Oryzias latipes: one gene and its partner. Each later gene encodes a partner of the first gene's protein in a complex. Links are inferred from orthologs where the notes say so. Each region holds a gene or a part of one and is shown in the gene's direction. Other genes may lie near its edges.

The links.
Region 2: the proteins of bcar1 (region 1) and sh2d3c are in contact, whole or in part, in a crystal structure (PDB 3T6G), measured with the Homo sapiens proteins. The link is inferred for Oryzias latipes from reciprocal best matches to the Homo sapiens genes BCAR1 and SH2D3C. Residues at the interface, in NP_055382.2 of Homo sapiens: Ser739, Gln742, Phe746, Tyr747, Gln750, Asn754, Val779, Ser782, Lys783, Ile786, Leu787, His790, Val793, Phe794, Ile795, Asp797, Thr798, Arg801, Gln802, Ser816, Asn817, Cys820, Leu823, Arg824, Val827, Lys831; in NP_733745.1 of Homo sapiens: Thr543, Val544, Pro545, Val547, Gly616, Val617, Arg618, Glu622, Thr625, Leu626, Pro627, His628, Leu749, Leu752, Leu753, His771, Gly772, Val773, Glu774, Val776, Leu777, Leu780, Glu781, Ala783, Arg784, Ala787, His788.

What each region holds. Positions count from the first base shown.
Region 1 is NC_019864.2:4,911,997-4,916,389, forward strand, and holds the start of bcar1 (breast cancer anti-estrogen resistance protein 1), read left to right. Parts: upstream 1-1,288; 5' UTR 1,289-1,401; coding exon 1,402-1,416; intron 1,417-4,393. UniProt on the Homo sapiens protein: Docking protein which plays a central coordinating role for tyrosine kinase-based signaling related to cell adhesion. Implicated in induction of cell migration and cell branching. Involved in the BCAR3-mediated inhibition of TGFB signaling.
Region 2 is NC_019870.2:15,522,849-15,526,665, forward strand, and holds part of sh2d3c (SH2 domain-containing protein 3C), read left to right. Parts: intron 1-1,205; coding exon 1,206-1,472; intron 1,473-1,572; coding exon 1,573-2,002; intron 2,003-3,817. UniProt on the Homo sapiens protein: Acts as an adapter protein that mediates cell signaling pathways involved in cellular functions such as cell adhesion and migration, tissue organization, and the regulation of the immune response.

The sequences.
Region 1 (4,393 bases):
GCTTTGTTTTCACAGCTCTGCTGAGGACACAGAGCATCACCGAAGAACTGCGGGTAACTTCTGCTTTGTTCAGGGATGGATTACAGGGTGAAGAAGACATCTTTGTGGATCATGGGTGTGCTTAGAGCTGACAGTATAGCAGCTCCGCACCACACACTCATCCACGCCCGTCAAAGAAGTGTGTGAGCAGGCTTAAGCTCAGGCCTCTGCTGCCTTTGTAAGTGTAGGTTAGGAAAGCTCATAAACACTGCCTGCTCTGTGGAGCATCTCATGAACGCCACATAATCATTTCTCTTTGTTTTGATCCTTCAAACCTTAAAACTTGTCCTGTAAATAGGAACCTTTTCTCGCACAGAAACCACCACTAGGGGCTTTAAAGCAGCTACACGAAGGGCAAACAGAGCAGGAGCAGCAGGCTGAAGGCAGGATAGCTAATCCAGTTTTTATTGGACTGAAAACCAGCTTTGTGTGCTTCTGATGGTTTGATTCTCCCTGCTGTGCAGAAGGGCGAGGTGCTTTGAACCAGTCATCCACTGTATTTTTTCATCCCTCAGGCAGCTATTTGTGAGTTTTTACCAAAGCAGGTTGAGCAACACCAGGCCCCTCCCACAGCAGTCTGCCCTATGCTCCAGGCTACATAATCCCTGCTGTTGTTACTCCTGTTAGTCACGGCCTACAGCAGGAATTTTTCTGCAGGAATCATCCCTTGCCAAAACATAACTAAATAGCTGGCGCTGCAAATAAAACCCTGATTTTGAAGTGTTTGGTGCGGCGTAGCGTTGCAACACACCTGCTTCAGGTCCAACACATGTAGGTTCACCTGGAAAATGTATGGGCTTTCCTAACAATTCCATGAGACATGAATATTTAGCAGCTGATAAACATAAAGAAGAAAAGAACGAACATGAAGACTTCAAGTAAGCTAATCCTTCAGGGAAAACCCAGATGCTTTTTTTCTTTTACAAACATTTTCCCTCACTTTCTTCATAAACTACATGATGCTTTTTCTACTGAAGTCTTTTCGTTCTCAGTTTGTGACAGTCTGAGTTGAAAACGCTGTACAGAGTTTTTCATTTAACATGAAATGGTGTTGGTGCAAAAATGCTGAACTGATTTCTGTTCAGGCGAAGAGAATGACCATTGCAGCTCCAGGTAAATGCCGTGGGTAGAGGTTTCTGTCTGCATATTAAATGTGCGCACGATACTGTTTCTTAAGAACTGACATGTCAAGACAGGCAGGAGCAGTGGGGGAAGAAACGATGAAGCCAGATACAGAGGGCTTTTGCTTCTGAACAACCTAGAAGCCGCAACAAACGTCGGGCATAATTTGGTTCGTCAGTATTCTCTGCGCTGAAACAACTGATCATGTTAGCTGCAGGGGTCTGCTAACATTTCTTTGGCATGCAGTGCGATCAGGTAAGAAGTTCTGCTGGAACTCGAGGGTTTTTCCACCCAACAGAGTTCCAGCGACGTCTTTTCCAGTGCTTCTGCATTCCATCGCCAAGCGGTTCTTTAGTTTGATCAGTGGGCTGCTCTACATCTCTGTGAAAGCAACGTTATGTGAAGGTTATGGTCGTGTTTCCAGTAATCACGCCAACATAAGGGAGACATAATGTGTACGTTTTAAGGTTGAAACAAGAAACCAATCAGGCTTTATCAGGGTCTTCAGAAACTGTAGTCTTCACAAAAATTAGGATTGTCTTAAACATTTAGGAAATGAGAACACTCTGTTAGTTTACACTTTGTGGATGTGTTTTTCAGTCCTGTGGTCTACTGGTCTAAAGCCACTAAAAACATTGTTTTGCACATTTGCTTTCATCTCCAATGAAAAATAAATAGAGTTGGCAAAAAAAATGTACCTCTTAAAGTAAATTTAAACAAGAAGGTAAAAAAAGTGCCTGTTCATTTCTGCTGTGACGTAAATTGGAGCAGATCGGACACTGATTTGTCAAAGGTAGATATGATATTTATACCTTTATTGATTTATTGACACTATTTGTGACATTTGAAGAAGGATGTTGCTTTCTTTCTATAGTTCTGGGATTTTCCCAAACAGAAAATCTGGTCCTGGCCAGCAGAGGTTTGACAGGAAGATACGATGGGATGCGGCCAGTTTGGCGTTCCATTTTCTTCGCTGCTGTCATTCCAAACTCATGTTCACTTTCCATTAAAGCGTTCGTTCCCTGTGAGGGATTCAGTGGTGGACTGGCTCAACATACAGTGGCTACGGAAAGTATTCAGTGGTCACAGTGTTACATTTTTCACTCTTTGCATCATTGTAGCCTTTTGCCAAAATTAGGAAAGTTCATTTCAATTCTCAGTCATGTGCGCTGACTTACGGAGCCCGTGAAGGGACATCCAAGTGAAAGCAAAGAGTACTGGTTTCTCAGGCGCATGAAAAAGTATCTGTTGCTCAGAAGAAAGTAAGTGGTCATTTGTGCACAGGACCACTTTTCAGAGTTAGTTGTCATGTCCCCTCGCTATATTGCGCTTCACTTTTCGTTTCGTTTTCACATTTTTTTCAGTGCAGTTTTTCCTTCTTTGTCTTTATGCAGGGCATTGACTGCATTCTGATTGGCTGTTGTCCATATCAATCAATCTCCTCTGTACCGTCTCTCTATACATGCAGTTTGACTGTGAGGATAAATCTATGATTGTAATCAGATCTTTGTTTTCATTTTATAGTCCTTAACTTATTTTTCTGGGAAGGTTTGAACTTTAAGAGTTTAAACAAGAATGAAAATGTTCATGTCTGAGAACAGTGTAGAAAGTGTGCTGTGAGGACTTTTCCGCCTTTAGACCATTGACTATAATAGAGAACTGGACTGAGGGAGTGTGACATCACCCATAAAAAAATGCCTTGCTTCTGGTTCCAACGAAATTAAGTCAATTCAGTCGCCATTGTCCACGACGGTTGTCATCCAGCGGCGCCCCCTGCATCCTCAGTTGTTGTCCTGCAATGAGGCTCACTCTTGGTTCCGCCCAACCTGCCAGGACTTTATTACAGCAGACGCTGTGTCGCATTCTCTCCGGGGGACGGGTCATTCCCCTCTTCATCCTCTCCCGGTTCAGACTGCGCGCACTCCTCTCCTGGTGCAGTATGGATCCGGGAGGCGGGTAACCCTGTCCTGGTCTCCTCTCTATCCTCCTTTCTCGTCCTGGTCTCTCATTAAAACCGATTGATGCCAGGTGCCCACCTGTTGTCTGTTCTGCAGTGACATCCGTGAGGAGTTCAAGGACCTCAGAATTTCCACGAACGACGTCACAGTTCAGAACAAGGAGCCCAGAATTTACACAATAAAGACACACCCTGTCATCATTACATGAGTTATTGAGTTTTATGTTACCTTGCAGCTTTTCTTGTCTGGCGTCACCTTTGTGTTATCGCCTAAAGCCAGTTCTAAAGTCATGGGGTTTGTTTCAGCTTTGGAGATTCACTTGCTTTGATCAACTAGTGTACTGCACACGAGTTTTTTTGGTCCATGACCTACTTTCTGGTGCTCACCAGAATTTCTCCAGTTCTATCTTTTTTCTTCTATATTACTTTAGGGGCTCCAAACTGAGTGAACTATCTTGATAGAAAAAATCAGAGAGGTAGAAATTCCTGCCTATTAACAAGAAAGAAAAACTGAAAAGTCACATGGTCTAAGTATTGAGTAGAAGCTTCCGTTTTAGCTGCTACAGCCATGAGTCTTCTTGGAAATTATGCAACAAGTTTATCACACCTGGATTTGGGGATCCTCTGCCTTTCTTTCTTGCATATTACATGGTGAATGTTGGTGTTCAGCCATTTTTAGGTCTCTCCATACATGTTCAATTGGGTATAGATCAGGGATCTGGCTGGACCAGTCTAGAACAGTCACAGATTTGTTCTGAAGTCACTCCTTTGTTATCTTAGTGGAGCGCTGTGGGTCATTGTTTTATTGGACGGTGAACCTTCTGTCTGAGGTCCTGATCACTCTGGAAGAGGTTTTCTCTCAAGATACCTCTGTACATGTCCCTGATGCTGAAAAAATAACCTAAAGCATGATACTGCCACCATCATGTTTCACTGTTTACTACCTTGCTTTAAGGCCCAAAGCGCTTTACAGTCTCATTCTCCCATTTATACTCACTGATGATGATCTCTATAGAAATGCTGGTGAATTAAATGCAATGTTCAATCTTCTTTTTCTTTAAAAAGAGGTATTCATAGGACAAAAAAAAACCCCAAAAGACTTTATGCTTTTTCAAAGAGAATTTGATTTCAATGTATGAAATGTATCAACCACCAACTCATCCAACTGGGTTTGTCCAGTTTGACTGTGTCAGAGAAAGCAGTTCATATAAGCTTTTAGGTTTCTTTTCTTTTCTTTCAGAATTTAATGATGAGATCACTGCCATTCAAATCCTC
Region 2 (3,817 bases), on another chromosome or scaffold:
CATGAAAACATCCGACACACATTTGTCATATGTAAACACGCATTTTGTTTCAATTAAATGTAATTCCGCAACACACCAAAGTGCATCCCCGTATAATTCAGATTTATATTTGTAAATATTGTATCTTATGTTATTATAAATAATCATATTTCTAAAATTGTTCTTAACATGGAAATGTGACATCATTTTTAAATGCCCAGCAATATTTTTGGAGCTGTTTTTATCACCCTCCACAAAAAATCAAAACAGAACAAGAAACAAAAACCTTCCAATTTGATTAAATCCAATAAGCAGAGTTACACAAGCAGAACTGCAGATACACTTCTTAATTTCACCAGTCCCAAGCATAGACGACCGACTGTTTGCTCCTAAATCCACATTTTTGCAAAAACATTAAGATTAAAGAAAAAAACATGGTAATGATTACAAAAAAAACTATTATTTTATTCAGTAATTTTTTTTGAGTGTTTGTAAACCCTATGAAATGAATTTGGCAGCCACAAGAAGGAAGACCTGAATTTTCTTTACTTTGCCCCTGTAGCACTGACAGGGAGGCCGTTAACATGCTAAAGCACAAAGAAATTCACCATGGAGAAATCCTTGAAAAGAGAGTAAAGACAGGCAAAATTTGGGAAGAGTATTAATACAAAACTGAATAAATAGAAAATTAATCAACAAAGAGAGATGTGTATTAAATATGCAAATGAGAAATATCCAGTTGAATTATTAAGCATTGATGTATTAACTGAGTGGAATCCTAATTGAGTGCTGAATGTTCTCATTTCATTATTTAAAAGTTTTGAATCCACCAGAGGGGGTAAAGGAAAGGTAACCATTCACACTGGAGCTTTGGAGGGTCTGAACCTTTGAGTCTAGAGAAATCTTTGGTGTATTCTGGTGGGAAATGTCTTCCATCTGTTCTGCATCGTAAAGTGACTCAAAGAAATTATTTAAAATGTTATATTTCTTCACCGAAGCTAAATATTGCATAAAAGTGCTTGAGCAAGAAAAATGTAAAGAGGTCCAAACAAGATGCTTTATGGGGAAAATGCCTATATTTAAAGCTATTAGTCAGGAAAACATCAAATAAATAGTATACTGCCAAAATGCTGCATAAATAAGGGATGAAAAAAAATGTGTTTTTATGATCAACATCTAACTGCATAGCTGTCAAAACAAACTGACTCCTCTCCCCTCTTTCCAAGCTTTCAAGTGGTTTGGCAATTTGAACTCTTTTTGGCGCTCCAATGACAAAAAAGCCTCCAAGTCCAGAGCCGGAGCAGGGGGTTTTCCTGGCCATGGGAGTGAGCATGGGGCTTCGGAGAGACTCAGTCCAGTTCCTAAAACGGTCCAGGATGACATGGAGGCCATGCGTCCTCGCACCGCCAGCTACATCCGCTCCACTGAAGACTATTCCCACATGTGCACGTTGCCCCGGCTGCTGAGTAAGAAGAAGGAAAAGGGTGATAAAGGTTAGCAGCAGAAATCACGAATGAACACAATCGTTCTTTAAAGACCTAAATTTAAACATTTATTTCTGAAAAATAATATATATTTTCTTCTCTTTGCCAGGAGATCTCAAGAAGAGCAGAGAAAAAAGCAACAACCAGAAGAAAAGCCAGAAGTCCTCAGGAGACCAGGGTTGTCCTCCTTCAACACCCACAGGAGTGCCGTGCAGAGTGGATGAGGAGGAAATACCTACTACAAACAGGATGGAGCTCAAATTGGAATCCCCACCTACCTCTAAAATACAGTCTGAGCCTGCAGGTGAAAGTACAGACCACAGCAATGCACCTGCACCGAGTCTCTGTGAAGATCTGCTGCCCCCTGGTGGTCTGACGGATAAAGTCCAATCAGAGGAAGAAGCTGCTTCAGCAGATCTGGACCAAGAAAGAGATGAAACTCAAGGAGGTGGATGCTCAGAAACCACGCCCCCTTCTCCTCCAAAGGAAGAGGACAGTAAAGAAGAGAAGAAACAGCATGACTCATTAAACCTAACCAGGTGAATTGAACTATTTTATTCACTTTTTAAACAAAGAAATTTAGTGTGGCATCTAACTGTTTTCCCCTGTGCTTCCCTTATCATGTATAAAGGTTAATTTACACAAACGTATTTAAGTAAATGTACTACATTTTATAAATGTACCTATTAACAGAGGTGCTTGAAAATTTCTTATAATTCTTTTACAAAATTAGTCATTAATTTTAACAGAATTGATAAAAATATAATCGAAAGGTTATTCTGATCAGAATGTGGGGCACAAATAAAAAATGTACATGAAATCGCTGTACATCAACAGTGCCAACTGGAGCATTTATAAGCCTGTAGTAAATTACAGTTCATCTCAATCTGGTTTAATGCATTATGTCATAATGTATACTCTGATTCCAATGTTTTCACATAATCATTATGATCCTAAAATTCAATTTTTTTTATTTTACAATATGAAATAAAAAAAACAACATGTTGCATCAAACTGCCACTTTAGTTCAATCTGTGAAATATTTATGAGGCTGTCAGACAAAGAGGAGAGAAGGAGCTAAAGCGAAAATGCTCTTTGTCCAGAAACTATCATTGTACTAATTTTTATATCCTGCATTTAAAATACAAAAATCTCAAAGGAGGTATAACAAATCTTTGCCTTATTTGCCATATTAATCTCCATGAAACAGCTTTTTGTAATTTTTTTGAGATAATTATGGACCCAAATCACTGTAGCTGATTTAGAAGATACATTTTCTGGACAAATCCAGATATTTTAACCTGCTAAAAACTTTGAAGAATTATTTTGGGCCCACAGGAAAGATTCCTCTCAGATGATGGGGATACAGTCAGCAGTTAACAGAATTCATTCCTCTACTTTTTTTTTAAAGGAGCTTAACATTGATTTCTTTTATCGATTATTTTCTGCAAGAAAACTGCTGCTTACTTGTGGGATGGATGATTTCACGTGGTATCTTTTTTCTATTTTTGGACACAAAGCACAAATGATTTATTAACAAAGTTATCAGACACAAGATGGAAAAGCAACCTCATTTTTCCCACACGTTCTTAGGAAAGCATGTTGTGTTTACTCATTTCTTTTGACATGCTAAAGGAAAATTGAGTTTTGTGTTGCATGTTTGTGTACATAGAACCATGCATATGTCTGTGACTGCAGCTCGGGGAGCACAAGAGATAAAGCTGTGTGGTGCTTGCTGCGGGTTACATGTAGACACAACAAAGAACTTCCCCCTTCTGTCAGTTCCACCATAAATCAGACTCTCAGCCTGTCCATCCATGTCCACAGTGCAGTTGTGCTCCTCTTTACCAGAGACTGTCTGAAACAGATCCTTGCAGCTCCTTGTTAGGCATTCTTGAATCTTTTTTGGTTTGGTTTAATCAAATCAAAAATTGTTTCACCACAAAAAAGTACCTTGCATGGTTTGTTTAATTTCAGCAAAACTGTCTAATGCTAATAATAAAAGATCATTTTGATGTTTCAGTTATAGATTTACATTTTTTAAGACTTTTTTTTTTTAAGCAAAAACCTCTGCTGGTTTTGTTAGTTTCTATTGATTTTCTAAGAGTGCTTTTCAGGTAAATATATCATTTTCTGGTCTGGGGAGCATTGGAACCTTTTCAGTTTAAGCATATATTGACATAATTTAATTTGCAAATAACAAAGATGGGATTTTTTTGCGTGGAATTTTTTCAAGCCCTTTTCAAGCTGCACTTCCCGGATAGCTGCACACTGCCGTAATGAGGTACTTTGATTTGACCTCTTTGTATGCGTGTGTAATACAACTTTGCTTTTGGCCCCATGAGGCAGAACAT